4 linked regions of the Rhinolophus ferrumequinum genome follow. The protein of the gene in region 3 purifies or fractionates together with the protein of the main gene of each other region. This does not show direct contact. Links are inferred from orthologs where the notes say so. Each region holds a gene or a part of one and is shown on either strand. Other genes may lie near its edges. The genes, in order: GAB2, CRK, SHC1 and PRKCD.

Evidence for each region.
Region 1: the proteins of SHC1 (region 3) and GAB2 purify together in Homo sapiens (affinity purification with western blotting; 6 studies listed by BioGRID and IntAct, with this or other methods). This does not show direct contact. The link is inferred for Rhinolophus ferrumequinum from reciprocal best matches to the Homo sapiens genes SHC1 and GAB2.
Region 2: the proteins of SHC1 (region 3) and CRK purify together in Homo sapiens (affinity purification with western blotting; 3 studies listed by BioGRID and IntAct, with this or other methods). This does not show direct contact. The link is inferred for Rhinolophus ferrumequinum from reciprocal best matches to the Homo sapiens genes SHC1 and CRK.
Region 4: the proteins of SHC1 (region 3) and PRKCD purify together in Homo sapiens (affinity purification with mass spectrometry; 3 studies listed by BioGRID and IntAct, with this or other methods). This does not show direct contact. The link is inferred for Rhinolophus ferrumequinum from reciprocal best matches to the Homo sapiens genes SHC1 and PRKCD.

Annotation. Positions count from the first base shown.
Region 1 is NC_046294.1:52,507,077-52,513,975, forward strand, and holds the start of GAB2 (GRB2-associated-binding protein 2), read right to left. Parts: upstream 3,011-6,899; 5' UTR 2,870-3,010; coding exon 2,795-2,869; intron 1-2,794. UniProt on the Homo sapiens protein: Adapter protein which acts downstream of several membrane receptors including cytokine, antigen, hormone, cell matrix and growth factor receptors to regulate multiple signaling pathways.
Region 2 is NC_046304.1:16,424,465-16,432,079, reverse strand, and holds the start of CRK (adapter molecule crk), read right to left. Parts: upstream 3,002-7,615; 5' UTR 2,852-3,001; coding exon 2,611-2,851; intron 1-2,610. UniProt on the Homo sapiens protein: Involved in cell branching and adhesion mediated by BCAR1-CRK-RAPGEF1 signaling and activation of RAP1.
Region 3 is NC_046305.1:73,046-80,246, reverse strand, and holds the start of SHC1 (SHC-transforming protein 1), read left to right. Parts: upstream 1-4,181; 5' UTR 4,182-4,448; coding exon 4,449-5,018; intron 5,019-5,561; coding exon 5,562-5,632; intron 5,633-6,146; coding exon 6,147-6,210; intron 6,211-6,359; coding exon 6,360-6,479; intron 6,480-6,707; coding exon 6,708-6,761; intron 6,762-6,942; coding exon 6,943-6,994; intron 6,995-7,134; coding exon 7,135-7,201. Other genes in the region: CKS1B (cyclin-dependent kinases regulatory subunit 1), read right to left, coding at 905-1,008. UniProt on the Homo sapiens protein: Signaling adapter that couples activated growth factor receptors to signaling pathways. Participates in a signaling cascade initiated by activated KIT and KITLG/SCF.
Region 4 is NC_046300.1:48,622,545-48,629,981, forward strand, and holds the start of PRKCD (protein kinase C delta type), read left to right. Parts: upstream 1-4,436; 5' UTR 4,437-4,672; intron 4,673-4,839; exon of another isoform or gene 4,840-4,862; intron 4,863-7,437.

The sequences.
Region 1 (6,899 bases), on a different chromosome or scaffold from region 3:
AGTTAGGCCTCTAGTGAACAGAGGGAACTGGCAGAATTCTAACTCAAAACTGGGTGCAAAAATTCTCAGTACCTAAAAAGAAAAGAAGATATAAAAGCAGACGGTTCCTCAAGAGTTTAGGGTTACACAGATCAGCTCAGTTTTCAGTAGGAGAACCACACGTCCATAGTAAAGGAGACTTCCAGTCACACCAATGGGACACATCACTTCGTGGCCTAAGAAAAGCTGTTAGTTTGGTCAGACGCCGTATGGGATAGAGCTGTGGGGAAGATGGGAAGGAGGCTGAGGTCATCGCATGACTGCAGGGTGTCAAGTATGTACAGACGTACCTCGGAGATAATGCGGGTTTGGTTCCAGACCACCACAATAAAGCGAGTGTTGCAATCAAGTTAGGTTCTCAGTAAAGCGAATTATAATCTTTTTGCTGGTGGAGGTCTTGTCTTCCATTTGTAAAAACACAACCCCTGTGTAGTGCAACAAAGCAAAGCACAATAAAATGAGGTATGGGTAAAAAAGGTGCCTGATCCAAAAGCCTCCAAGCTTGGTTATTTTGAGGTGAAGTTATTTTTGTGTTTTTTTTTTTTTTTTGGAAACAAAAATACCCAAGAAATGGGTCACAGAGTCTGGGTGATAGAAATGAAGTAGTCATTGGTCAAATGTAGATACAATATCAAATTGTTTGCAAACTGTTTCAAAAATAAAGTTTCAAGGTTCTTGGGGAGAGAGTTCTAATTTGACAATTAACAGTCACATTTTTACTGGATACTTTATTCTACTAGCTGGTATGGTCTTACACTTTTCATAGTTTTCAGAAGCTCTTTGAGGGCCAAAGATTTTTTTTTAAAACTCTTTTTTTTAATTTATTAAAAAAATTTTTTTATTAGGGAATATTGGGGAACAGTGTGTTTCTCCAGGACCTATCAGCTCCAAGTCAAGTCGTTGTCCTTCAGTCTAGTCGTGGAGGGTAGAGCTCAGCTCCAAGTCCAGTCCGTTTTCAATCTTAGTTGCAAGGGGCGCAGCCCACCATCCCAGGTGGGAATTGAACCGGCAACCTTGTTAAGAGCTCACGCTCTAACCAAGTGAGCCACCGGGCGGCCCCTGTTTTTGTTTTTTATATTTACAAAAATATTAGTAGTAAATTACTGTTCCTTAACCTAATATAAAAATTCACCTTTCCTAATGAACTGATACAACCCTGAAGAGTAGAAAAGTTTCTTAGCAATTATAATTCATTCTTTGGCTACATGGACACCCCTGAAAATGAGCTTTAAAACTGAGATGAATACTTCATTGCCACATTCCTACTATATTTTAAATCTATGTCCACTTTCAAAAGTCCCGTGCTAAATCCTTCAAATGCTTTCCCAGCAAATGATATAAATAAGAGCCTGATTTCATGTACGTACATACACATACATTTGCACTCCCCAACAACAACACTTCCTTTGAAAAACAGAATGTCACTTCCTCAATCCAGAGGCCAGAAGTCCCTTGGTTCTGATCTGGGGAGCCAAGACAGGAAACTCTGGTAAGCTTCTGCCTCTCCCCCCATGGACAGCCACTGGTGCAGCTGACAGAGGGCAGGGTCTATTCAGAGCTCCCTTGATGCACTGCAGCTGGAATGCAACAGCTAGCTCACTTCCATGCTGTGGGAACGATCCCAGACAGTCCAGCACTACTAGTCAGTTTAACAAGGACATTTCATAGGAAGTGAAGAGGGAAAAAGGATGGGAGACCTTGACACGTTTTGGCGACCTTACTTCTATTTCCAAACTCCTGCTCACAGCCCAGAGCTGATGTTAGCCAAATCTCAGTAATTGGCACCAGCTTGTACTTTGACCCCACCAAGCAAGGCGTCTTGTTTTTGTTTTGCTTTTTGTTTTGGGTGGAGGGCAGGAGGGAGCCAGACCTCCTCACCGCTCAGCACCAGACTGTACCACCTTTCCCATGATGCTGCCCGTTTTGCACCTAGAAGGGAGGGAGTGGCTGTCCCAGCAATTTCAGTAAACACTGTCGGTTAGCACCACCTGGCAACTGAGAACCTTGATCTCTCTCGACCCCAGACACCCAGGACTGCACAACACAAAAACCAGGGCCAGTTATAGCAGAGCAAACTGCAGTGTCACCATCGAGGAGTTGGGGGGGCGGCGGTATGTATGTGAGAGACATACAGAATAAAGGGAAAGAAGGGGGACAAACAAATGAGTCACTTAGTACAAGGGCTGCACATGCCGCTGACGCTGCCCATGATGCAGAGACCCGACTGGAAGGAAGCAGGCGGCCACCGGGAGGGGCGAGCAGAGGCAGGGAATGGGGAAAGGGTGTGAGGCGCCTCGCCCTTTGTGGGGCCGCACGACACCGACCCACAGCCTACGCCCCCCTTTCCCGCCCACTCCCCCAACCTTGCAGGCGGAAGCCGCTCTGGGTTACTACCGTCCCCCAGCTCCGGGAATCAACTCCTAGCTCTCCAAAAACAATCAATACAAACTTCAATACTGTATGTAGTTTACAGGGAGGCCGGCTGGGGAGGCGCTGCCGCCCCGCGGAGAGAGAGCCGCAGCTTCCACCTGCCCGCCCGCCCCGCCCCTCGGCGGCGCACCTGTGACAGGTGTGCAGGTGCCCCACACAGACCCGAGGCGCGAGGCGCGCCGGCCGATCCTCGGCCCCCGGAGGCCCCGGGGTCCGCCCTCCCCGTCCGCACGGCCCCTCCCGGAGCCCCCAGCCCCTCTGTAGGCCGCGGGGCGCCCCCCGCCCGCGCCCTCCGCGGCCGCGCCCGCCAACCGCCCGCACTCACATAGCGCCTCAACTTCTTCTCAGGGGGCGATTTCCTCAGCCAGCCGGTGCACACAACGTCGCCGCCGCCGCTCATGCTGTCGGTCGCCTGGAGCCCACCGCGGGGTCGGGAGCACAAGGGCGCGGGCGCCGGCGGCTGGGTCAGCGGGCAGGCGGTGCGCAGCTCGCGGGGGAGGGGAGGGGCCGGGGCGTCCCGCGGCCGCCGGGTGAGGATGAGGCGAGGCGGCGCGGCGCGGGCACGGCTGCCGCGCGCGCCCGCTCTCCCCGCGCGCGCCCGTGCGCACTCCCAGCCCGGCCGCGGTGGGGGCGCTACTAGAACGGTGGCGCGCGCTCGCCACGCCCACAGCCCGCCGCGCCCCCGGCCGGCAGGCTTCCTAGAGGAAAACACCGCCTCGCGTCTTCGGACCCGAGAGGCCCGAGGTTCGGGAGGGCGCCGAAGCCTGCAGCCGGCCGCGCTGCCCGACTCCCCCCGACCCCGTCTTGTTTTATTCCCGAAGCCTCCGGCAGCGTGCGGGGGAGGCGGCCGCGCCCCTAGTAGGAGTGGGGGTGGGGGTGGGGTGCAGGGAAGGGGTTGCGCGCCCTTCATCTCGAATCGATTTTTCACAGAGGGTCGTCAGGAAGGGACCCGAGGGCTGCTCGAGTTTCCTATCCATTCCCAGAGTTTCAGGTTTCAGTGGGTCAGGTTCTGGCTGAAATTAGTGATCCGCTTCCCAGCAACAGTTTCTTTAACTCTCGCACCCCCTTGGCGGGAGAAGGAATGATAAAAACAGACTGCTATACTGTGTGTTGGGTGCTTTTCTTTCCTTGTTTACATGATTGTCTTGACGAGTCTACAAATCCGGCGGGCAGTATTCTTCCCATTTTACAGATAAAGTCCCAAAGCCTGTGCGACGCAGAGCCAAGTTTCGAATTCTGGGGGTATGGGGTGGTCCTGCTCGTCTGCTTTTTAAAGTGGGGGAGTGGCTTTAATGTATGCAGATCTACTTGGGGGCCTTTTATCTACCAGGAAATAAAGTCCAGCTGGCTCCTTCACTGCTTCTGGGAAAAACAATTTAGTGAAAGAAAATTCATATTTGCAGAAACAAGGAAGTAAAAATAAGTCAATGTAGTTCATAGTGAATTGGAAGGCAAGGTGGTGTAGAATAAGGAATTGGGTCAAAATTCCACAGCAATCCAACTTATTGACACAGGTTATGAGAAAGCTCTGGCGTTCGTATAAAAATTGGGATATAATGGTACCTCTCTCACTGCATTGTGGTGAAGTTTATATGATATGAATGAAGTCTGTGGAAGCACACACTAGACTACCCCACATTTCAGGGGGAGTGTGGAGGGGGGAAACCTTTGGTAGGGGCTCTTTCCCACTCACAATGTACCTTCACAAGCAATATTAAAAGGTAGGTCCTCCCCCAACTTCTTAGATAAGAGTAACCCACTATACAAACAGGGAACTGTGCTGTGGGCAGGTGAGTGCGAGAAGCAGCATCTTGCACTCCCTGTACTTTAGAGGAAGGCTGTTTTGTTCATTTCCTAACTGCAGCAAAGCTAGTTGTTGCAAACATTTGGACACCCTTCTGGTTTTACAGATCCTGGGAGGTTTTACTTTGGGAGGTTTAGAAATCTGCTCCCCTGGAGCCAACATTTCACTGACTTTTTTCACTATTAGTGTGCTGCTGGATTGAATGCAAAGCCAGAACTATCAGGCTATAGCTGGGACCAGAGCTCCCGTAACCTTCCAATTTAGGGATTCTTTAGTCACATACAAGGGCCACCACCAGAACTATGACCATTTTTAACCTCTGTCTTTAAAATCCTGTACTTTAAAACCCTGTGAAACATATCAAAATACTCAAGTCTGCCAAATCAATCAGGAGGCAGTGACTCCCAACCAAAATAAAGCAACTTCTGACTTCATTGACATCTGAGTCATGGTGCCAAGTCCCTGGGATTGCAGAGCCTGAGTAGTCTGCATGGTTTGTTTGCAGCTACCCTACCTTTTTCATTGCTAAACTGCCAGTGCCCAGCTTAGGCTGCACATAGGAGGCAGGACTGCGGAGTGCTGAGGTCCCTGGCTGTACCCTGGTGTGGCTCCCGTCTTCTGAGCCTGAGGTGCGTGCCAGGTCTGGAAACAGACCTCGGACAGAACGTTCCTGCCTGGGCCCTAACTAAGTCCTCTCCACTCCCTGATTTATTTATTTATTTATTTTTTTAAATGCTCCCTGCCTTTCGCTGGGGAGAAATGGAAAACAAATTGAGTGGTTCATTGACATGAAACTAAGCGCCATCTATTGGAACCAATTGGGATGACAGCCCCCCAACCTGTGAGGACATGCACCACTAGTCTGTAATTGAGGCAATTTTGATTACAGACCACGGGTATTTCCTGGAGGAATTAATGACCGGCTGCAAGGGGTGCTCTGGGTCATTAATTCTATATTCTCATTAAATCCCCAGGAAATGACCATCTCGTGGGGAGGGTTTCTCTGGAGGGAACATTGAAGAGATTAGACAAATGCACACCTGGGAGGGAAGCATGGGCACCACGTTTGCTCCCCACCCCCCGCCAAAGCCTGGGTTCTAAAGGGTGCACTGTGGCTTTGTGTGTCGTCAGCCACAGCCTGCATCCGTGCCTGTCTGGGCGTTGAGGGTTTGTGGCCAGCGGCAGGTGCATGGTTGGCAGAATGCTCCCAGAAACGGGTTGGAAGGACTGGAAGGAGAGCTGTCCTCAACTGCACACCAAGCTGGTGTGATTAATCCCACCCACGCCAGGGCTGACGTCAGTGATTGCACTGGGGGTGGGGATGGATGCTTGTGTCCTAGAGCTTCTGCCTTTTCTCCTCTTCAATTTAGTTGACAGGTTAATTTCAGAGCTGAGTGCTGCTGGCCAAGGTCAATGTGGCCGGCTGAGTCACCTTGGCTGGTGACTTTGATGACACTTGTCTCTCAGGCATGTTGAGGTTTGCACTTCTTTAACCTCTGGGTGCTCTGAGCCCACTTGGTTCCGTCCACCAAGTTATTCTGACCTTCTCAGATCAACTTCTGGCATCTGGTTGGGACAGAGATCTGGAAGTGGGCTTGGGGTGTGGTTGAAGACCTCATTGGGTTCCCTCCCTGTCTGCGGCTGCCAAACAGTCTGATACTTGCCATTACACCCCGTGGGAGACATTTTGGAAATAAACTTCTTAAAGAGAAAAGTTTGAGCAAGTCCAGCTTCCTAATTTTCCTTTGTAAAGAACCAGAACCTGTGTTAACTACTTTGGGGCAGTTAGGCTCCTGGGACATTTCTACTGACATTAGTGGGGTGGCAAAATCAGTGTTCACAGATCCTGCTGCAATATCAGTTATCATATTCTCCCAAGAACAAAGTCTGTCAAGGTCCCTGGGGAGTGTGCATACTCCACACCATACTTGGCACAATGGACCCTTGAATTAGATCTTGAACATAGGTCAAGACCCCATTCCCTAAAACTCAACATCCTCATTTCCGAGCATAGTTGTTCATTCTTTTCTTAGATCCACACTACACTTACATAAATTGAGTTGTCACACTGGACTGCAAATATCTGTTTCCTTGGAGCCTCCCAGCATGGTGCCAGGCACACAATAGATATTCATTAAATATTTGTTCTGAGAATAAAGGAACCAACCCTTGAAGGATAACGTGTGGGCACCAGTGAGCATCTGGAACTGTCTGATCCATGCAACCCAGGGAGGAGCACCTGTGGAGGTCTTCATAAGCAGCTGGAGTGTTTAAACCCACAGGGACTGGCTTGGTGGGAAGGGCTGAGCAGGTGGAGGTAATCCTGTGCACTTTCATTTTTAAAAGATGGTTAAAACTCTTGGGTAGTAGCAAAAACAATGGCTCCTTAGACCTTTTGACTTCTACCCCCAGGCTCCAGAGAGCTAACTATGTTAATTCTTGGTTTCCAATCCCTGACCCTGTTCTACAGACTACCCATACACCCTCCTCTCTGGGACTAAGCATGAAATCACTTATGGTTTATCTGATATCTGGCTTCACTGTGACAGTCCTGGAGGAGCTCTAGCACTTAACCCCTTGTACCCACACACGATACTAGCAAAGCTGGAAAAATCAAGTCCCCTGA
Region 2 (7,615 bases), on a different chromosome or scaffold from region 3:
ATAAAGTCCTGTTCCCCTTCTCCAATAAAATCTTTAAAAAATAAATAAAACGTTGAGAATTCCTGGTCAATTTTATCCCTAAGCCTCTAAAAACCGTATCTAAGCCACACATTCTACCTAGGTATCATGCCCACAAAATACATTATATTACCCTAAGCAAAAAAGCTCCCATTTCCCATATTTACTTTTCCAAATAAGTAGGAGTTTAAAAGCCTCTTCATCATTGATTTTAGACAGATGTGTACTGTCTGAACACCAAAGCCAGTTTCTTCTTGCCATCCTTTTCTTTTGGTCTTCAGGCAGAACCTGGGACCCCAGTACAGAGACAAATATGTTGAGTCCTCTATGTACAACACTGCTGGGACCTCACAAGTAAACTGGCTTTGACAGAAAGGAATACAGTGTAATAGTGTCAGCTCTCAGGTCAGAATTCCCAGGTTCGAATTCTAGCTCAATATTTACAAGTTGTGTGACCAAGCAATTGACTGATTCTCAGTTTCCTCATCTATCAAGTGGAAATATTTTAATAAATGGAGATCCCAGGACATTCCTCACTAGATTGTTACAGATAGTAAATAAGGTAAGGCACATAAAGTGCTCGGCCAAGTACGTAGCATAGAACAGCCAGTCAGTAAATGTTAGCTATTAATATTGTATATGCCTTTCTGAAATTCAAGAAATTCCTGTGTGGTTTCAAAGGAAAAAGAGCTTGATGGGGGAAGGTCAGAAAAAAGATTAAGTAGCCTTTATAAAGAGAGCAACCGAACCACCTGCCCTACATGTAAAATAGGGTCCATGGCAGAAAGAATTACCACAATGCCCATGAACTTTCCACACCCCATCGACAAACTGTGGCAATCTTTACCTTCTCTCTTGGGCCAAGGATCTGAACTCCTCTGTTATGAAAAGGTGGAGCTCAATATCAAACACTGAGATATAAAATCATAATGCCTAGGTGTGGAGAGAGCTCAAACTAAGAAACCTGCCTGCCGCCATTTCCAAATTTTGCAACCAATAAAACACATATACAAACAAGGTTGAAAATTGAGTTTCAGTGACAATTTGCCATCGTATCACCGCACTGTAACAAAAACCCCTAGATACCATGCATGTGGTAAAAAGTAGACTATCGCTGGTATAGGGCAAATGTTACATCAATATTTCCATCTCATGTTATAATGCTATTAAACCAACCAGACTGAGAAAGACCTAGGATAATTTGTGTACTTAAAGATCCCACACTCTTTTTAAACTTGGTTTCACACTCTTTTTAAACTTGGTTTATGTTAAGAACTAACAGACTGACTATCCTTTCTCCCCATTTCTGGCCAGAGTATATAAATCTAAATTAAGACAATCCTAAAAGGGTAAGTCTGCAAAGCTGGGCTCAGGAGCCTCCTAATTTACTTGAGACTGGCTTGGTCTTAGCTGGTCAAGAGGCAAGTGCTTCAATTTGGGAACAGTGAGAAGGCACAAGGACTCTTCTTGGTGCTGTTAACACAGGTAACGGTCACCTCAGAGTCACTCTGTCCCTCCCAAAGCGCAAGCACTAAGTGCATAAATGTCCCTAATATTCCCCCAACAACTCCAATGGCAGGGGTAAGACAGTCATATCGCATCCATCCTTGGCAAGGAAGACTCAGTGCTGATCATTTAAATTCTCAGAGCATCTACCCAGCAAGGTCTGTTCCCAATATCTAGAAAGACTCAGATCACAGCCCCAACTTACTGGGCAAGAAGAGGCCCTCAAGTACAAGACTGACAATGCTTAAGTCCCAGGAAAAATGAAGTTCCGTTCACTTTCAGAGAAGGGATTGTTTCCATTGGCTTATTTCTGGTTTATTTCATGAAAGAAAACAAAAATCTTTCCTCCACTAAACACTGAGAAATAGAGCCCCCGAATTGCGGAGGGCAGTCTTCTGGACACTAAGATCTCTTGGGTACAGTCATCCAGGCATCCACTTATTCTGGGCTGGCCATACAGGGCCATCTATCACCAAGGCACTGAGCTCACCACCTTCGTCCTCCGCGAGGGAAGAGGACGGTAAAAATCTTTTGGAAAAATGCCCAAGAAAGGAAAAAGCTGAGCGGTTTCCTGAAGGGTGTCTCCATCCCTCCAGGCCAGTATGTGGTGACTTCCTACCAAAGGCCACCAGGGGAGTATAGCCAAACCCGGCTTCCTAGCATGGCAGGAAATGTTTCAAGCCTAAAAAGCCACTTGTAGGATTATCGGATTCATTCTGGGCACCGCTGCCAAGTGATGCCCCCGCAGTGCCAACATTCCCCTCAGCTCTTTGTCCCCACGTTGCCTGGCCCTGCCCTTGTGCCTGGCCCAGGCGCTAGCCCCACCCTGGGGCCGAAGCAGTTCCCCTTCCCCTGGGCTGTCCTTCCAAGTCACACCCAGAGGCCTGGGTCAGCGGCTCCTCCTCCCCCACACTCCCGCTGGTCTGTGGGAACCAGCCCCAGCAGCAAGCCGCCCCCTGCCACGATCACACCAGCCCTCTGTCCACGTCCTTCGTGGGGATCAGCTCGCGAGGAGCAGCCGGCAAGGCTGGGGAGTTCCACGGCCCTCACCCCCGCCCGGGGCCTCCCGTCCTGTCCGTCCCTCACCGGGCGGAGGCTGGGCGGGCGACGGTGGCAACGGTGGGCGCGGGCCGCTGCTGTTGATGATGTAGTGGGAGACGCGCGAGTTCTCGGAGACGCTGAGCACATAGTCCCCGGGGCTGGTGCTCGAGTCCCGCACCAGGAACACCCCGTGCCGTTGGCCCTGCAACAGCGCCACTGCCTCCTGCCGGCTCAACCGCCCCCAGTACCAGCTACTCCGCTCCTCCGAGTCGAAGTTGCCCGCCATGGCTGCCTCCGTGCCTACACGCTGGGCCGCCGCCGCGCGCGCCCCTCCAGCCCCGGCGCCCGCCGCCCAGCGGACCGGCTCAGGTCTCAGCTTCACAGCAGCGCCCGAAATGGCGGCGGCGGCCGCGGGCCTTCCCCACCGGAAATGACGCGCTCCCTGCCCTCGGGAGGATGCCGGGAAAGGGACCTCCGCCCGCCATTGGGAGAAGGGCAAGGGACGGCTCGCGCGCGTATTGCGCATGCGGTCTCATGGGCGTCGCCCCCTGGCGGGGACCGGGACTGCAGAGGATGGAGAGGCGGAGTCCAGGCCAAGGGGGTTGGGCCTCAACCAGCCATCCACAGAAGTCTGTGTCTGCTGTTGGCTACTCGATTCTTCTTCGCTCCACCAGGCTTCAAGTTACTGGAATGCCCAGGACTTCAAGGCAGCGACTCCGAGACAGAATTGGAATAGAAAAGATGATATGGACCCACGGACTCAGCTACCTGAGACGGTCTTTTTCTGACACTTCCTCCAGCTTCTCCCTCCCCAGGCTACCTAAAGCTCTTGTTTTCATTGAGTCATTCAGCAAACGGTTATTGACACATTTGCCCTGTGGGTACAAAGGTGATCAAGGCTGAGTCCTACCCTTGCCAAATTCACCAGTGAGGAACCAGGAAACAGTCAATGACAAAGGAATGCCAAATGCTATGATCGGGAACAGACAGAAGTTCTAAGAACACAGAGCCGGGCCCCCTAATCCAATCTGTAAAGAGATCCAAGAGGGCTTCCCAGAGGAGGTGGCATGACCTGAATATTGAATGACAAGGGGGAAGGGCATTCAAGACAAAGGGAACAGAGTATGCCAAGCCAGGTAGAAGTATGAAGTTGTCCTCTCCATTGAGGCTCTCAAGTCATCCTATCAGATTCTTCTAAACCCTAATTTTGGCCATGAGTGTCCTCCACTCTCCCTGCCATCATGACCATCTCTGTCTCTACATTCCATATCTATATCTATATTCCTGTGAACAGCTTGCTCATTGGTGCTCACAGCTGCCAGTGTTCTCTTCCTAAATCACAAACTTTTAACACTCTCCAGGTGTTAAAACTCCCAGTTTAGCTCACAGCATAAAAGTGGGCCACAGTCTCAATTACTTTTCCATGAACCCTGTGTTACTTCTTTCTGGATTGACCTTCCACTCCTTTTGGGATCTCAAACTCAAATGCCCCCCCCCCTTTCCTGACCACCACATCACTCCCTCTCTGCATGGCAGCACTATGTTTCTGTTATATTATCTCCATTATAGTTCTTACCCAGTGTACCGTAATCTTTCATTTACAGGTCTGTCTGTGTTCCGTGCTAGAGTTCTTTGAAGGCCAAGCATCCCCATAAATGTTACATAATAATGGCTAACATTTATTCATATTATTCACTAGATGCCAGACATAGTGCTGCTTTTATGAGGATCATCTCGTTTAATCCTGTCAACAACCTTATGGGTTGGTATTTTACAACTATCCTCATTTTACAGATGAAGCTGAGAGAGGTTGAGTAACTTGTCCAAAGACACACAGCTGCTGAATGGGGAGCTGAGATTCAAATCCTGGAAGAGAGCTATGGTCACTTTGCTATATCCTCAGATGTCTGAGATAGGAACGGTGGGAGTGGCAGGAAGGGAGAGGATGGTGGAAATAGACATTAAAAAAAAAGAATTAGTCAGCGCTGGGTTATGGTCTTACATGAATAACGCACTTCTTCTGGACACACGTCACACACCCCTGGTCCTGCCTGGGAAGGGGAGTGGAGCAAGGGCACCTTCCCTGTTGTGGATGACTCATCATGACCCTGGCTTAGTCACAGCAGGTCACTACAAGCCAGCAGCAGAAGCAGCCCCGTGTGAATTCTGGCCCTCTGGGAAAGAGAAGTGCCTGCTCTTCATTTCCCAGGATTGCCAGGCTTTGAGGCAGAACCTTACCCAGAGACTACCTGTGAGGTTCCGAAGCCATGCCTCTAAGCCCCTTCCCTAGGATACATGGGTATGATGGGGAAAAATACTTTAAAAGACGAAAGAGGGGTGGCCGGTTAGCTCAGTTGGTTAGAGCATGGTGCTAACAACACCAAGGTGGCTGGTTTGATCCCCACATGGACCACTGTGAGCTGCACCCTCTTTAAAAAAAAAAAAAAATACAAAGAAGAAAGAGGGAGAGAGAGGCAGAGAGAAAGAGGAAGGAATGAAAGAAGGAAGAAAAGAAGGACAAATCGTAACTGAGCTGGAAAATAAGAAATGAGATTGGCAAGGAGGGGAGCCACAGCCCCAAGCAGCTACTCAGTGTGTTCTTCCTTGGAGCACAGAGAATCTACTAATTCAGAGGTCAATAAGGTGGGAGCAGGAGTGGCCTTGGGACAAGCAAAAGGCAAGCCCACGCTGCTCCTCCCTCCTTTCTCTTCTCCTCCTCTCCCCTTCATACGTCAAGATTTCCAGCAATAATGGCACCTTTTGTCCCCCCTCCCCCCCCACAAGCCTGAGACCTGCCCTACAAAGAATGTGATCTTCTTGCTTAGGAAGGGCTCCTGGTGTTGGGTGGTGTGGGAGGATGGGGAAAGTACCCGAAGGAGAAACAGGTGAAAAGGGGGGAAAAGGGAAGTCTGCCCTGTTTAAGAGAAAAACGCACCAAAATCCTCCATTCCCGATCCTCCTAACCAAAGAGAGGCATTCCCTATTTTAGCAATGGAGGAGCAGGAAATCAACAACCTGCTCGCCTGCCTGCTCTGTGTTACCTAAAGTGACCAGAGTTGCCTCATTCAGCTATGCAGCTTGTGCACGGCCCAACTGCAGGGTGCTACATAAATGGGGCCGTCTGGAACTGGGCTATTCATACCCACTTTTTCTTTTAACACAGGCAAGCAGAAAGATTATTTGTATCAAGATAACAAAAATTATTATTCAGAGGGAAAACTGACAGTATTCCTTTCCAAAGTGCTTGTGAAAAAGAGAGAAAAGTGGGTTAGTGTGTGTAGACAAAGTTTGTATTAGTGGGAAAATACACGTCTGCCCTGTTCTCATTTACATATGGGGGGGAGAGACAAAGGAGACAGAGACATTTCCAAGTCTCCGCTGGAGTTTGTAGACTGTGAAAAAGAAGGATGCCCCACCCCCAGTGGGTAGCCCTTAGTTGTGCAAAGAGGAGAACCAGTCTTAACATGTGCAAAGATAAGATCTGGAGGCAGACACCAGGGGAAAGCTCTGGGGAGAAATGTGAGAGGACTCCAAGGAGAGTCTAGAGGAGGAGAATGTGCTGGGAACCAAGGCAGGAGGCCAGACCTTCCCGGAAAGGTCAGTGAGATGTTCCCAATGGCAACATCCTGTAGGACACTGAGAATGAGTTGTCTGCTTGGCTGCAACGTAAACCCCCTCCTTGCCCCCATCCTTCAGGAGAGCTGCTCACACAGAAGCCTTTTGCAGGGAGGAATCCAGGAGCAGGTGCCAAGTTCCTTGACTCGGTCCTCAAGGAACTGAGAAAATCAAGAACATCTGAGAGAGGTGAGATGGAAATGCACCTATGTTCTCTCCCTGTCTCCTCACTCTGCTCATTCCTCTCCAGGCCCCTCGGACCTTCTTCCTTTTTCTTTAACAAGCTGCCATGCTTTGAGAAAAACTTGCTGTTCCCTCTGCTGGAAATCCACAGTCACCGGCTTCAGGTCCCTGTTCCAGTGTTGCCCTCTCACCGAGGCCTTCCGTCGTCTCCAGTCCATTTGAAACTGCAAACTGCACACACAACTCTCCCTCTCCCCCTTCTCTGCTTTATTTATTTTCCTAGCACTTACCTCGCTCTAACCCATTGTTTGTTTTACGTATTTGTTTTATGTATTGTCCTCTCTTCCCTTCTAGAATATAAGCTCCATAAAAGCAGAGATTTTGTTCTTTTTTGTTCTTGCAATATCCCATGTATCAAGCCTATCTCAGAGAGCCCGGCACATTAAGTAAATGTTGGTTGAGTGAGGGAATGAATGAATAAATGGAGTCGGGTGGAGGCTCTTGTGTAGAGCCAAAATTAGCTTCCTACATTTGGCAGCTCTCTCTTGGAGGGCAGTGTACTTCCTGCAGTATGTGAGCTGGGGGTGCCAGCCAGTCTTGGTTAACCTCTCAAAAGAACAGGGTCCTTGGCTGCATCTGGGTTTGTCCATGACATCACTCCCCCATGCATACTAACTGGCTATCGAAAGGAATGTTCCAGTTGTAAAGCTGGTAATTGCACCTAACACGGTATTTATCTTATCTGTTGGCTTCTTGGAGCCACTGTTACCACTGATAGAGTGGGCATATTGTGGTGCTTTCACTTTTCTATAAGTTGATTTTGCGGGAGGTGTCAAAATCTAGGTGTGCTCACAGGACTTTGTTAAGCCCAAGCTGTGGTATCTTATTCATTGAGAACTTCTGCCCTAGGTGATGAATCTAAACTCAGCAGGTAACCTGACCGCAAACGAAACATTTTCTTGCCATTAAGGCCTGCCATTCCTTCTGCTTGCAACGCCCCTCCTGCTTGGGAAAACTCTTAGCCATCTGCTGATGAGTGCTATGGTGGCAGCTTGCACCACTTATGCCCTTTCTTCTGGAGACAACACCGATTTTCTTTTGAGAAGTCATCTGCCGCCATTCTTGGTCCCCGCGGTCAGGTGTGATTCACGTGACCCAGGCCTGGCAGGCACACATCCAAATATACCTTTCCTTACTGCAGAGAAGGGGTCAGGGACAAGCACCGTATTCAAGGTGGTCCACTGAGAATCAG
Region 3 (7,201 bases):
GGAGAAGAAACACAAACAAATTTCCCTTTTATGTTCTTCAATTGAGAAGACAAGATACAAACTTGGAAGTTGTTTTAAGTATTATAGTTAAAACAGACTAGTGGAATGCCAACATTTGTAGAACCCTTTGTTTTCCATCCTTCTCCAATCTAGAATTAAGCATTTAGGATTTCTCAAATGCAAACTCTGTAGGGATTCCTTTCTTCACCAGCCTGGGCAAGCTCTATGTGCTTCCATCACAATCTGTACAGAGCACCTTTCTGAAATCAGTATTTCCAGATTTTTTCGGCTTGGCTTATCTTTGCACTTCAGGAGAACACCTGAAACCTGTAAGCACTCCGTAATGGCTTCCTAAATAGATCCCCTTCAGATATTTGAAGGGTATCGATTAGGTCCATGTGAAGTCTTTTCTCAATGTTCCTAGCCAGTTTTATGGCACTCCGTTCCTCGAAGTCCCCTTCCCTACACACGCCGGACAACCACGCCCCTTTTCCATGAATTAATGAGCAACACTCGGGCTTTCCTAACTCCCTTCCACTGAAGACGCGAGGAAAATTCGAGCTCCGCCTTTGCCACCTTTTCCTAGTAGGCTCTGGGATTCTACGGTGTTGCCGTAATACAAGCAGTTTCAAGAAGGCAAGGTCAACTTCCTCAATCAAGTTGCGAATGCTCCAGGCACCTCCAAGGTGACGGTGGTCAGCACGCACACTCTAACCACGCCTACCTCCGCCTCCCCCAAGTGCTCTCCCTCCAAATTCGCTCCCCCTGTTTCTTTCACCGCCGCCTCCGACCCTGCGTGCATGCGCCTTACGCTCTCAACTATCTCACACCCGTCCCGTTAATCTGCTGCGCATGCGCTGATTCTGTCGCTTCATTCCTGATTACTAACTCCTCGCGCCCTCACTTGTCAAACTCACGACCTCGTGATGGCCCCCGCGCCGGCACTAACCGGTACTCGAACTCCTCGTCGTCGTATTTGTCCGAATAGTAAATTTGTTTGTGCGCCATGATCGCTCTGTCTGAGGACCTTCAGCACCGCGCCGCCAACCTCCAAACAACTCCCAGCAGCACGCGCTCCCCACCCTCTTTGGCCTCACTTTCAAACACGCCGCCTGGGCTTCCTATTGGGCCCCTCGACTTAAGGCGGGACGACTCCACTTTCAAGCCTCCTATTGGCTTAGATTTGCTTCTCGTAGAGTCCTCATTGGAACGGACTCCTTGCGTTTCCCAAGAACGGGCTGAGGTCAAAAAGAGGCCTCTTATTGGCTAACACTGCTTTGTGCGCGTTCCCGCACTGCCATTGGCTGATTCGGGAAAGTGGGCCGGGTGAAGGAGGGACTGTGAGGTAGAGGGTCAGGGGTTAGCGAGGCCGGAAGTGAGTGCAATAAAGTTTCTCCTGGGAGGCCGGGCCCGGGGAGAAAGTTGGAGCAGCGACCTAAGGAGGTAGTGGCGTGATCCAGAACCAAATCAGCCCGCGGTGCGGTGCAGCGACTCCATGAGGCCCTGGTGAGTGGGGACTTTTTTTCTCCCTAGGTGACCCACTCCTCCACCCCGGAACCCCTCTCCCGGGACCCTACTTCCGGTCTTCATTTATAAGTCCCGCCCCCTGAGACCCCCTCCCCGGAAGTCCCACCTCCCAACTTCAGGGGCTCCCTGAACCCCGACTTGTCTTCTATTTATTGTCCCTGACCGCACCCTGTCACCCAGCTTTCCTGGAAGTCCCACCCCCTGACATGCTTCCAAGCCCTACTACAAGAAACCCCACGTTAGTCCTTCCAATTCCCCGAAACTCCGCCTCAGCGCGATGATTCTCCGCTAACTCCTGTCTATCAAAAAGCCTATCTTCCAAAAGGGCAAAGCCCTGCCCCTCAAATAACTACAGCATTCGAGTTCGTGAAGCCACGCCTCTCTAGGGGCTCCGCCCCCTACAAGTCCCGCCCCTTCCTTAATCCACGTCTGATTGTCCAGAAGCCTCGCCTCCTAGTAAGAAGTTTCCGAGGCTCGCGTCTTAGGGGACCACGCCCCCTCGGGAGGTTTATCCTGGTGGGACCCAGGGCTTCGCCTCCGACGCTTTGTCAGGAACTCCACTTGCTAACGTTTCCCTGTCCTTTTTCTCTTTTGGGCCTTAGGCTCAGTTTCCCTGAGCTGGCAGGCTCCGTGGGTGGGCAGTCCAAGTTCCCATCTCTGGCTCCGAGGGAGATTAGAGGCAGCCCCTTCCAAGGATGGACCTTCTTGAAGGGGGCTGGACTTGGGGTTTGGCACGAGGGTGGGAGACAGACTTGCTCCTAGATTCCTAGCCCCCCTCCCTGCGTTTCCCTTCCCAGAACTGACCCACCCCAGAAACAGCTGTTATGTTTTATACCTGTACCCCGCGCGGGATTTGGGGAGGGCCGTTTATTTCTTGTGGCAGGAGCGCAAGTTTGCTACCACCAGAGAAGGGTGTCTTGGAGTGGGTGTAGGGGACAGAGACCGTTTTGCTGTTTGATTTTTTTTTTTTTTTTTAAGGGGCTGCGCAGCCCCCACCACTCTGGCTCTTCCCCTCCCCCTAACTGGAGTTCTTGTCTGGGCATTCCTTCTGGTCCTGCTTGCCCAGCCTTCCCTTCTGGAAACATTCCTGAGGCTTTCGCCATTTCCTGCGACTTCCCGCCGCTCTCGTCTCCTCCTCCCTGCTGGGCCGGGGAGGCACTTGCAGCTTCTCCCCCACACCCCATCACCCAGACTCCCAGGAGGCAATCTCATTCCTATGCAGATTTAAAGAGCCCTACTTCCTCTTTCTTTTTCTCCAAATGCCCACACCTGTTGGTCATGCCCTGCGGGCACGTACAGGACGCCCATCGCTAAAGATGAGCAATCCTGCTGTGGGGGGGTGTGTGTGCACGCGCGCGCGCGCGTGTCGGGGGGGTGTGGGGTTATGGCTGAATCCTTTCCTTGCGCTCTGTGCCCGAGCTCTGAGCTGTAGCAAATGGAGTGTTAGAATTCCTTGTCAGGAGTGGTGGAATGACAGCGCGCTCCTCTGAGGAGGACTAAGGGCAGGGGAAAGAGCTTCGCACAGTATCCGACACGTTTTCAGTGCTAGTGTTGTTAGTTATTGTAATCATATGACTATTGGCACCTTTTTATCTTCTGAAGTAATTTAAAGATAGGTAATTCCATGGTGAGCCTGGGGGGTATGGGGATCTTACTTCTTTTCTGGTCACTTTCCAACTTCCTCTGTGGCTCCCTGGGCAGAGCTGTGGCAGGAAGCGGTGGGAGGAAGGAATGGCTTTGGGATCGGTGCCCTGTGTCCAGCCTCAGCGCATGGACCCTGGCACCCTTCTCCAGTACTTAAAACAGATTTAGCTTCTGCCCCCTTCTCCCTTCATGGTCTGTAGCCCCCACTTCTCTTGGAGAACTGTTTCATTCTCCCACCTCCTCCAGCCAAGCTGCACCCCTGATGTGAGGGGCACTGTGCTCCCTGGTGGACACGTGTACCCTCTTCGGAGGGTATGGCATACCTGGCAGGTGCAGGGAGCTGACCTTAGTGTCAGTGTCCTGCTTCCCCATCTACCCTTCATAGCCGGCTTTGCTAACGGGGGGACGGGCAGAAGAGTGCTTGGCGGTGGCCGGCTGGCGCTCCCTGGCATGGTAGGTGCCATGCACAGAGAACAAGACTCCAGCAGCCTGCCCTCTGCTCCAGCTCCTCTCCCTGCTGTACCACCCAGGGTGGACTTTATCCCCCTTACCTCACCAGCTGTGCCCTTCCTCCTGGCCCCTCTGCACCCCCGGGACCACTTCCTTCTTTCCCCATTTCTTTAGCTCCTGTCCACAGCTGTTGTAGCAGACCATGCTAAAGGCTCAGGCTCCCTGGGGCCACCACCCCACTGTCTGCTAGTGGTGGGGGGTGGCCTGGGCTGGAGAGAGGGGACTTTCAAGTGTTCAAGCTGGACAGGAAGGGAAATGCTGAGCTCAGGGATCCCCTCCCTTTTCCACCCCCAGCTGCCTCTGTTTCCTCCTTCATTCCCCACCACCCTCCCACAGCTTCCTGCTCCCTTTGGCCTGCCCGTGTCCGGTTTGGATTGATCCAGACCTTCTCTTATCCTCCTCCTTTCCTTCTCACTCCTTGGTCCTCCCCTCCCACCCCTCCTTTACTCCTCCCCAGATTACTAGTTGTTTGTATGGGTGCAGTGGTGGTGTGGGGGCTCATCCCTCAAGCCTGTGAGTCAGCAGTGTCCTCGGGATTGGTCCCTCGCATTGGCTCCCCGCCCCTGGGGAGGAGCCAGGCAGCTCTAGGTCCAGCCCGTTCTTCCCTCAGCCAGAGAAGAAGCTCCACGCTGGGCGGGGATGGGGCCGGCAACAGTCTGGGTCTGAGCTGGAGGAGCTGGAGAAGCCAGAGCCACTGGTCCCTCTCCCTCCTCAGAACCCTTGAGATCCCTGGGCCATAACGGGCCGATCGGGCCAAGGGCCTGGGGATGCCCCTGCCTGGCCCCCTTGCCCTGACCGGCAGGGGGGCCGGGCTGGGCAGCAGCCTCCCTCTCACTCCAGCCATGGATCTCCTGCCCCCCAAGCCCAAGTACAACCCACTTCGGAATGAGTCTCTGTCATCGCTGGAGGAGGGGGCTTCAGAGTCCACCCCACCGGAAGAGCTCCCCTCGCCGTCAGCCTCATCCCTGGGGCCCATCCTGCCACCTCTGCCTGCGGACGATAGTCCCACGACCCTGTGCTCCTTCTTCCCCCGGATGAGCAACCTGAAGCTGGCCAACCCGGCTGGGGGGCGCTCGGGGCCGAAGGGGGAGCCAGGCAGGGTGGCTGAGGATGAGGAGGGGGTCGTAGGGGCAGCCGTGCCAGACTCGGGCCCTCTGCCTCTCCTCCAGGACATGAACAAGCTGAGTGGAGGCGGCGGGCGCAGGACTCGGGTGGAAGGGGGCCAGCTGGGGGGCGAGGAGTGGACCCGCCACGGGAGCTTCGTCAATAAGCCCACGCGGGGCTGGCTGCACCCCAACGACAGAGTCATGGGACCCGGGGTTTCCTACTTGGTTCGGGTGAGTGAACGGCTCCCACTGCCTCCCAGACCCCCCCACCCGGTGCCTGCACTCACTCTGGCTGTGTGGGCGTCCCCGGCTCGTCCCCAGCAACTCCCGACTCCCGTGGGGGCAGTGCCCTGTTGCCTAAACCTGCCTGGCTCCTTCTCCAGTTCTGCAGCTCCTTCCCTCCCAGCTCTGCCTGGGCCCCCCTTCCCTCTTGTGACTCCCCCACGCCACCCTCACCCCTCCAGGCTTGGTACCTGCCCAGCCCATGGAGCACCTTTAGTGAGTGTTGGGATGAGTGACTCTTGATTGTTCCCTCCAGTCTGCTCCCCGTGTCTAGAGATGTCACTCCATTCCCGCCCCCCCACGCCTGTCACTCCTCCCAGAGGCCTCATGGCCTGCTAGCTCGCCCTTCCCCTCTCCTCATTGCCTGTTGTCTTGTGTGCTGTGGGCTGTGGCGGAGCCTCATCTGCACTGTCCTGAGGGACACGCAGAGAAAAGTCCCAGGCCCCTTTGGCCAGGGGTGGGCGCGGCGGCTGACACCCCCCTTCCCCTCAGTACATGGGCTGCGTGGAGGTCCTGCAGTCGATGCGAGCCCTGGACTTCAACACCCGCACTCAGGTCACCAGGTCAGTGCAGGGGGTGAGGGCTGGGGGCGCAGAAGGGGAGCCCGGGTGGGTCACTCGGTGCTGGTGCCAGTGACGGCTTATCTGTGGGTGGTAAAGGGGACTGAGAGAAAGTGAAGGGAGCGAGTCTTAAGTCTGAATGAAAAGAGGCAACTCTGGCCTGGATCCTTCTTACTCATCCAGCCTTGGCAGTTGTGGGGGGAGGTGGCAGAGGCAGCTGGCAGCTGGAGGTTGAGTAGAAAATGGGGGTAGATGGAAGGTTGCTGCTGCCTTTGGGAAGGGAGTGGGACATTTGGTAGCTGGAGGGGGTGGGGCCCGCCCATTGAGGCCCTAACCCAATCAGCCAGGAAGCGGCCTCTCAGTGTCATCAAATATTAAAGGCCCTTAATTCAATCCACCACGACAAAGAGCCTGGAGTGCCCCTGGAGTCTGGCCTGGCCTTCCCCTCCCCCAGCCCTGTGGCAGCCCCAGCCCAGTGGGAGGCAGGCTCTGGGTCTGAGCACCCCTCTTTCCCCAGGGAGGCCATCAGTCTGGTGTGTGAGGCTGTGCCAGGTGCTAAGGGGGCGACAAAAAGGAGAAAGGTACCCGGGGGCGAAGGGGCTGGGGGTGCTGTGGGAGGTGCAGAGGGGCTGGGCAAAGGCAAGTGTGGGGAGAAGGCCCACAGGCAGGAGTGGGGGCTTTCTGGGTGTTGGGAGCCCCCGGTTTCTGAGACCCTCGGGCCCTTCCTTAGCCCTGTGGCCGCCCGCTCAGTTCCATCCTGGGAAGGAGTAACCTGAAGTTTGCTGGGATGCCCATCACTCTCACCGTGTCCACCAGCAGCCTCAACCTCATGGCCGCGGACTGCAAGCAGGTAGCGCACAGGGGGCCAAGCGGGGGCCTGGCTGTGAGAGTGAGGGTCTAGGAAAGGGCTTGGGTGCAGCAGGACAGTGGGAAAGGAGATCAGGAGGATGTGGGGTAAGAAGCCCGAAGGATGAAATGGGGACTGCCGGTTTTGGGCCGGGTGCGGAGCGCTCAGCTCAGCCTGAGGCTGCCTGACACGTCATTCCCTTCCTTCTCCGCCCCCTGCCCTAACCCTCAGATCATTGCCAACCACCACATGCAATCTATCTCGTTTGCGTCCGGCGGGGACCCGGTGAGTTGGGGGACAGAGCAAAGATGGCGGGAAAAGAGTAAGGGACTGGTTGGGAAGACGGGCTCACGGAACGGGCATGCCAGGATGGAGGCTCCATCTGGAAAGCACTGGGATTGCGGGGTGAGGCGTGAGTGGGGCTACTCGATGTAGCTAACTGGCCTCTCCTGACTGTCCTCCCCAGGACACAGCCGAGTATGTCGCCTATGTGGCCAAAGACCCGGTGAATCAAAGAGGTGAGGCAGTGGGGAGCGGGGTGGGGCCGGCTGGCCGGGAGGCAGGTGAGCAGGACCCGGAGCCGAGCGGGGGCTCCTGTCCGTGCCTCCTCCCAGCACCCCTGCCTCAGGCTCACCGACAGCCTCTGCTGTGCCCCCAGCCTGCCACATCCTGGAGTGTCCCGAAGGGCTTGCTCAGGACGTCATCAGCACCATTGGCCAGGCCTT
Region 4 (7,437 bases), on a different chromosome or scaffold from region 3:
CTGGCAGATCAGAGCAGAGGGGGTGCTGTTGCGTGGGGAATCCCTTGGGTCTGTGTGCGTCGGGATAGCTGTCGCTCCGTGACTGCCCCTTGGCACACCACCAACGCCCAAACTGCCTCTCCTTCAAACCTCTTTGCGGGGCTGCGGGTTAGGCAAGCCAGAAGAGGGGACTCAGAGGGGCAGGGGTTGTGCAGTGGTCAGTGTAGGACTGGGGCAGTCTGGGGGCTGCACACCTCCGTGGGAGCCCCAGGAAAGATCTGTGCCCTGCACTCCCAGAAAGTACCTTCCCTTTGTCTAACCCAAGTATTTCTCAAGCTTCACTCAAACACAAATGAGCCCCGGACGGAACTTGGGTAGGACCAACTCTTTGGCAGTTACACCAACATAGATTGAGCCTTGCACCAGAGCTTCATGAGCTTGATCTCTTCCATCCTCTCAACAAACCATCAGGACAACACAGTAGTACCTCGGTTTTTGAATGTCTCCGTTGAACATTTCGGTTTATGTATGCCATAAACCCGGGAGTAAATGCTTCGGTTTTCAAACACGCCTCAGAAGTCGAACATGTCATGCAGCTTCTGCTGAGTGCAAGATCCTGAAGCCTAGCTGTTGGCTGTTTTCAAACGTTTCAGAACTCGAACGTTCTTCCGGAACGGATTATGTTCGAAAACCGAGGTACCACTGTATTACTATTATTATCTCCAATCCACAGATGAGGAAGGTGAGGCACAGTTAAGTCACAGGTCCACGGCAGAGCTGGGATGTGAACCTGGACCCTGCAGCCCCTTGGCCTGGCACTTCCCTACCATGTGGCACTGCCCCCAAAGTCACTGCCCTCACTTGCCCCCTATCCAGTGCCCAAAGCCGAAATCCTTGCTCGTGACCATTTGGTGGCCTGAGGCATGGCCACTGACTGGTTGGACCATGTCCCAAATGCCCTTCTCTCCTGCTCTATCCGCAGTGGGACCTTCCAAGGCTCTGCTACCCCAGCAGTTACTCAGGCACACCATCCCTGCTGGCCTGCGCCTCCTTCTCCGGAAACATGAGCTCACTCTCCCTTGGCCAGGCCAGTGCTCTGGGTGTGATGGGGATGGTGCTGGCAGCCAAAGCTTCAGGGACAGGGATGGTAATACAGAGAAGCACAAACAGAGAGTAAGAGGCAGAAAGGCCAGGACAAGGACCAATTCTACACAGGGATCAAGTGGGGGACCCTATCCTGCCCATAGTTGGGCAGGCCCAAGCGATAGAGGGAGGTCCAGGCCTTTTCCAGGTTGCTTGGCTGAATCTGGAACTACCTGTAGAGGGGCTTGGTGGGGGGAGGCCCCCAGGTTCATGGCCTCTGGGTGGAGTAGGAGTTGCAGGTTGACCCTCCTCTGGACAAACCCTCCAGGGAGCCCCAGAGGAACAGCTCTGTGTGGATGCTGGGGTAGGAGTCTGAACACTACCCAGTGCTACCCCTGATGGGCCCATTTCCTTTGCAGCAAACCTGGAGGAGGAGAAAGGGAAAGTACCACTTCTGGGTGGCTGCTATGGGCCTAGCCCTACTTGGAGATTTATGCCCCATGTCACAAGAGGCTATCGAGGGCTCTTCCAAGGCTGACAGCCTGTGACTCAGCAAAGTGACCATACCTGGCCAATGTGAGCTGAGCCCTTAATGGGTGTCCACACATATCGTCTCACCTCACCTTTTACTCAACCCCTGACATGGGTCTGTCATCAGTCCCTTTCACAGTTGAGGACTCAGGATCAAAGAGGTGTTGTCACCTGCTCAAGATCATACAATTAGCATGCTGTCACACAGCCAAGGTTTGCACCCAGGCCTCAGCAGGCCCATCTAAGGTTGGGTCCAGGTAGGTTATGGGGGCACAAAGGCAAGCTCATCTGGATCTTGCACTGGCCCACCCAGTGTGGCACCTAAGAGCAGTTCCAGCATGCAGAGTGGCTCCAGCTGAGCTTGACCTGGATTCCTGGACCCCACAAATGCCTGTTCTCCCTGGGACTGTTGGTCCCACAGTTTGATTCTGGAGGGAAGCCCACCTGCATCCCTCCTCTGCCCTCATCATAGTGTGGGCTCTATAATCCTGAGGGCCAGGAAAGTGCTTCCTGGTGTCTAATTTAAATCGTTCTTGCTCCTGTCACACCAGCCCCACTCTAAAGCAATGGTTCTGAACAAGGGGTGATTTTTGGCGCCGAGGGGATATTTGGCAGTATCTGGAGACATTTTTATCTGTCACAATTTGAGGATGTGCTACTGGCATCTAGTGTAGAGGCCAAGGATGCAGCTAAACATCCTGCAATGCACAGGACAGTTCCCACAACAATGAGTTATCTGGCCCGAAAGTCAGTAGCGCTGAGATTGAGAACTCCTGAACTAAAACATGGGTTTTGGAGCCAGTTGGAATTCTGCCTCTGCCATTTACTAGCTGTGTACCCTTCACCAAGGGGCTTTATCTCTCTTTGAAAGACTCAATTTGCCCATCACCAAAAGTGGCACTCACTAATAGTGGCCCTCATCTTAAAGGGTCTTGAGGACCAAACAGATTCACACATTCAGTATCCAGCAAAGGGCCTGGCACCAGGGAAGCTCCGTCAGTGATAGCCATTATTCTTACTTTCCATTTTCCAAGGTGAACCTAAGGTGTGGGAATAAAAGTCTGGTGGCAGAACCTGGAGCTCCCCATGGGTCAGCCCTCCCCTTCGGTGGTCTCTGGCACTGGGTCAGCCTATTGTTGATGTTGTGGGAGAGGCTGGGTTGGCCACTGGATCTGGAGGGAGGAGCCAGAAAGGAAACTTGATCCCAGGTGGGCAAAAGTCACCTGGAGTCACCTTGACTCACCTTTTTCTCCAGCCCAACCCCAGGGAAGTCATGGGATTGGGGCGGGGAGACCAGGACACAAAACAGGCTAATGAATACATAGGAATACAGTTCCTTAGCTCAGGGAAATGCCATGGATTCACAGCTGGGCTCAGGGAGAGAAGCATTTAAGTGATCACAACCCAGACAGGTAGAGATATGGGGGTGGGTGGGAAATGGCATCGTGGCCCAGGGAACAGCATGTTCAAAGGTTTGGTTGTGAGGTAAGGCATAATGCCTATTTCCCAAATGACAGTCCAGTGTGGTGAGAGCAGTCCAGCTTGGTGGAAAGCTGGGTCTTCCTTCCCAGGTGTAGGGCACCAGGGCCCCCCTCTCTCTGTGGTGGGAAGAGTCATTGCAGTTTTTCTCTTTGCAGTCCAGACACTTCCCTTTGCCCCCGCCTGCACACACTTAAAACAGAATTTCAGGATCCACATCTCTCTTAGGGTTCTCAACATCCCCACCCGCTATTCACACAACCCTGTAAGGGACCCATCTTACCCAACCCAGGGTCTTCCCACCTGAAGAATGTGACAGCCCTTCTGCCCCATCCAGCCCCCTCCTTTCTCCTTCCCCTCTGTCCTATGATCGCCCCAGGAGCGCAATCCGTTGTAATAGCTGCCACCACCTGCTCCTTGAGAAGACTAAAGCCAGCTCAGGCCTCCTCAGGATTGCCCCACTCCCACCCCGAGTTTCATCCCTTACTCTTCAGCTGGGAAGAGCAGTCTGGACTCTTCTCATCCCCTCTAGAGGTTACCGCAGGAGGCCTGAGACCCGGAACCCTCTTCTATGCCTCTGGAAAGTGGCATTTCTTTGGAGTACAAAGCCAGCGGTTTGACTTTCTGAGCTTTGGAGGCAGAGGAAATGGACTCCCTGGACCCCACTCCGTCTCCAGACTTCAGCCCAGGGAATACTCAGTGAATGAATGAATGAACGAACGAATGAATGAGTTATGCCTGACAGCCAAGTTCCAAGTCTGGAAAGGAAGCTTAGGCGCCTACCCGGGGCGATGGAGAGCTCTGGAAAGCCCGGCCGGGAGAGCGGACCACTGGGGCATCGGGTTAGGGATCGCTCTCAGAAGGGTCTGACCAGCCGCAGACCAGCTAGAGCCTCCCGCCCTGGAGTCTTCCCAGCTCGTGTAGGGGCAGGGCCGGGACTAGCCGGCCTGGCGGCGGGCACCGAGCCCCGCCGCGTCTGCACTCCAGTCAACAGGAAGAGAAAGAGAGAGGCCTGGCGTGACTGGCCAGCAGGCTGGTGGGGAGTCCCGGGCGTGGGCGCCGGGATCTGGGGAACCCCCGCGGGCGCCTCCCGGCTTGCGTGCTTTGGGGTGGGGGCGGAGGTAACGCCCCCTCCGTCGGGCCTCAGCGTCCTCTGTATGATGCGGCCCCCTCTAAGGGCTGGTACGTGAGCTGATGGGAGACCGGGGTCGAGGTGTGAGGGGAGGGCAGAGAGGCCCAGACACTGAGTGACTCGAGCAGAGGCAGAGATGCTGGACCCCGGCTCCAGCGCGCGGAGGCGGGCCTTCGAGGGGCAGGCCCTGATCCGGGGGCGGGCCGGGGCCGGCACCTGGGTGAGGTCGCCCCGCCCCGCCCCCTTGTACTTCCGTGTGCAGCGGCGCGGGAGGCGGCGGCCCTGGGATCCCCGGAGCGACCCCCGGCACCCGCCGGTCGCGCCGAGGCGGGGACGGTACTTCACCCGCCGCCGGGCCCGTCCGGGTCTGGCCCCACCAAGACCCACGTCTGAGCGCACGCCCAGGAGCCGCGCCGGGAGCCGGACCCCAGCTGCCGCGACCCCTGGCGCCTGGCCCTGCGCTTGGAGGTGAGTGAGGGCCGGTTCCAAACGTGGGATCCGAGCTACCCCGAGGGCGCGCTGCCCCTCCCTTCCCCCTCCCCTCTCTGGTTCCCGTTTCCGAAACTGAGAAACTGATCCGCCGCCAGCGAAAGTGTCGCCGCGCCCCGGGACCCGCCGGTGCCTCCGTACCCCCGTCTGTCTGTCCCTCGGTTCAACGGTAGGGGCCGAGGCCCTCTTGTCCGTCAGCTCCCAGCCCCACTACCCGCCTGTGTCCCCATCTCCTTCGAAAGTCCACCCGTCCCTCCCGAATCTCTGGGGCCCTCTGTCCGTCCATCTGTCCCCACCCCCTCCCCCCGTCCGCCTCTCCCTGGTCTCTGTCTGTCTTTCACCCTTCGCATGCCCCTTCGCCCCACCCCCATCCCCCGCCGCCCCCTAGATCTCGTCCTCCGGGAGCCGCGTCCCCGGCCAGCGCTCGCCGCCCCTAGCCTGTCCCGCCGCCTCTCCTTTTCTACAGCGCGGCCCAAGCCTGGCGGTCCGCCGGGCCTCGCCTCCCGCCTCCCGGCCCTGGGTCCCAGCCCCGCCCGCGCGGTGCCTCCTCCTCGCTCTATCTCCTTTCAGTCTCTGTGTCTCTCGGTCTCTCCATCTGTCTCCGGGCTGGGCGTGGCTCGTCTCCATCACCCTCCCCTTCCCGTCTCGCCCTTTTGCTCCTTTGAGCCCCCTACCCTGGTGGCCTGTTCAAGGACTTGTCTGCCCCAGGCCCCTCCGCAATCCAGACACCACGCCTTTGGGGTCCCAGACCGGTGAGGGGAGACGGTGGAGGAAAGTGGGGTGAAGAAGGTGGGCACCTTCAGAAGTGCCCCACTTTCCCACCTCCCCCACTGAGCCCCCACTTAAAGCTGATCAGAAGGATTTGCTGTGAGTGGAGGGCTGACCCCCTTCTCCTCTGGCCCCTGCCCTGTATGTATGGATCCTGTCTTCGTGAGCTGGGTCGCTTGTATGTCTAAGCGTGTAAGTATGTTGTGTGTCTGTGTCCGCTTGGGTGTTCTTTGTCGCTGTGTTTGGAGCTTGCCCCTGTGAGTCCTGTTTCTCATGTATGATTTGCCTCTGTGTGTGTGTGTGTGTGTGTGTGTGTTGTGTGTATCTGTTTGGGTGTTCTGAAGCTCTGTGTGCCCTTTGCAACTATGTGTATACATCCCTGTGTGTTTGGAGGGTCCTATGTTGCACTGGGTGTGTCGTGGTGACCCACTGGCCCATGAGTATATTCAAGCTGTTAATTGTGGGAGCCCCGGTATTAGGGTTCCAGCCCACCAGGTTCATGTGTGTGTCTTTCTGAGTGTGTTGTGCGTGTGTGTGTGTGTGTGCGCGTGTACGCACACACACTCACATGTTGTGCTTCCTCTCCCTCTGCTACTGAGCCACTGTGATCAGGCTGACCAAGTCACCAAGAGAGGGGACTGTTCCATCAGGTTTCCTTGTTCCTGCTGTGAACTGAGTTGGGGTGTGGTGGACAGGCCAGCAGAGGGCAGCTGTGGAGAGAGAGAGTGTGAGTGTGAGTGTGTGTGTGTGTGTGTGTGTGTGTGTGATGTGGAGGTTTTGGGACAGCTATACCTGGCTGTAGGGTGTTGTATGGGATCTGGTGTATGACAGGACCGGAGCAGGGAGCAAGACGTGGTGTGGGCCTATGACTGGTGGGACACTCACAGTCTGACTGTATGAAACTGTGAGTCTGTGTGCTATGGGAGTAACTGTGCTTGTGGGGAACTGAGAGTGCTTGGGCGTGGGTGTCAGGAGCAAGAGGGGATGAAACAAGGTGTGTGGTGCCTGTGCCCTGGGGTGACAGTGTTGGGAGGAAAGGTGAGAGCCCCAGTGTGTGGGTGTGCACGCATCATGCTCTAGCCCGGCCCTGGCTCCTGGGGAGAGTAGGGAGACCTTCATTTCTCACCTTCCTCTACCCCCCCAAGTTGCCAGACACCAGAGGACAAGTCTTGGGGTTTGTAGTGTCATGACCAAGACCTTGGACTCTGAACCCAGAGAAGACCTGGGCTTAAAAGAGCAAGAGACCAGAGCTAGGCTTCTCTAAATCTCTTGCCTTATCTGCGGAATGGAGAAAGTTGATGACTAGAGGTCCTGTGTCACAGGTCCTTTAGCACAGCCTTAGCCCATAGTGAGAGCTCAGCACATGCTAAGTCTTATTTGGTGACCACCTCCCCCCAGTTGTATGGTCCCTATTCTCCTGGGAGCTGGGGCTAATAAAAGCCCAGATAGTCCCCCAACCCAGTATCCTCCCGGGGAATCTGTCTCTTGTCTGCCTCCCTTCCCTTTGACCAGGCAGCTTGTGGGAGGGAAGACGACTGACAGAAACCCTCCCAGCATCCAGCCCTGTTCATCCCACATGATGACACCCCTCCCCCCAGTCTCAGCAGCAGTGGTGGAGAGAGCGGTGAGGGGTGATTTGGAGCTGTGACTGCAGGGCACTGACACCATTTAGCTGGCACAGCTAATTGGAGTTTAAATTAAAATTAGAAGTAACTTAAAGTACAGACAAAAAGATAAAGCCTGAGGGTGTCTCGGTCCCCAGGGAATGGTGATGGGAATCTTCAGCTGGAGGAGGGGCTCACATCTGAAGAGGGGCATCTTTTGTGGAGGCCTGGCATGCAGAAAAAGTGCTCAGGTCTTTCAACCTGGACACCCAGGGCACCTTGCTGCCTTTGCTATTCCTTCCTTCCAGGAGCTCCCTGGGCCTCAGTTTCTTTTGGCTGTATAATGGGCACAATGGGTAATGTGAGAATCAC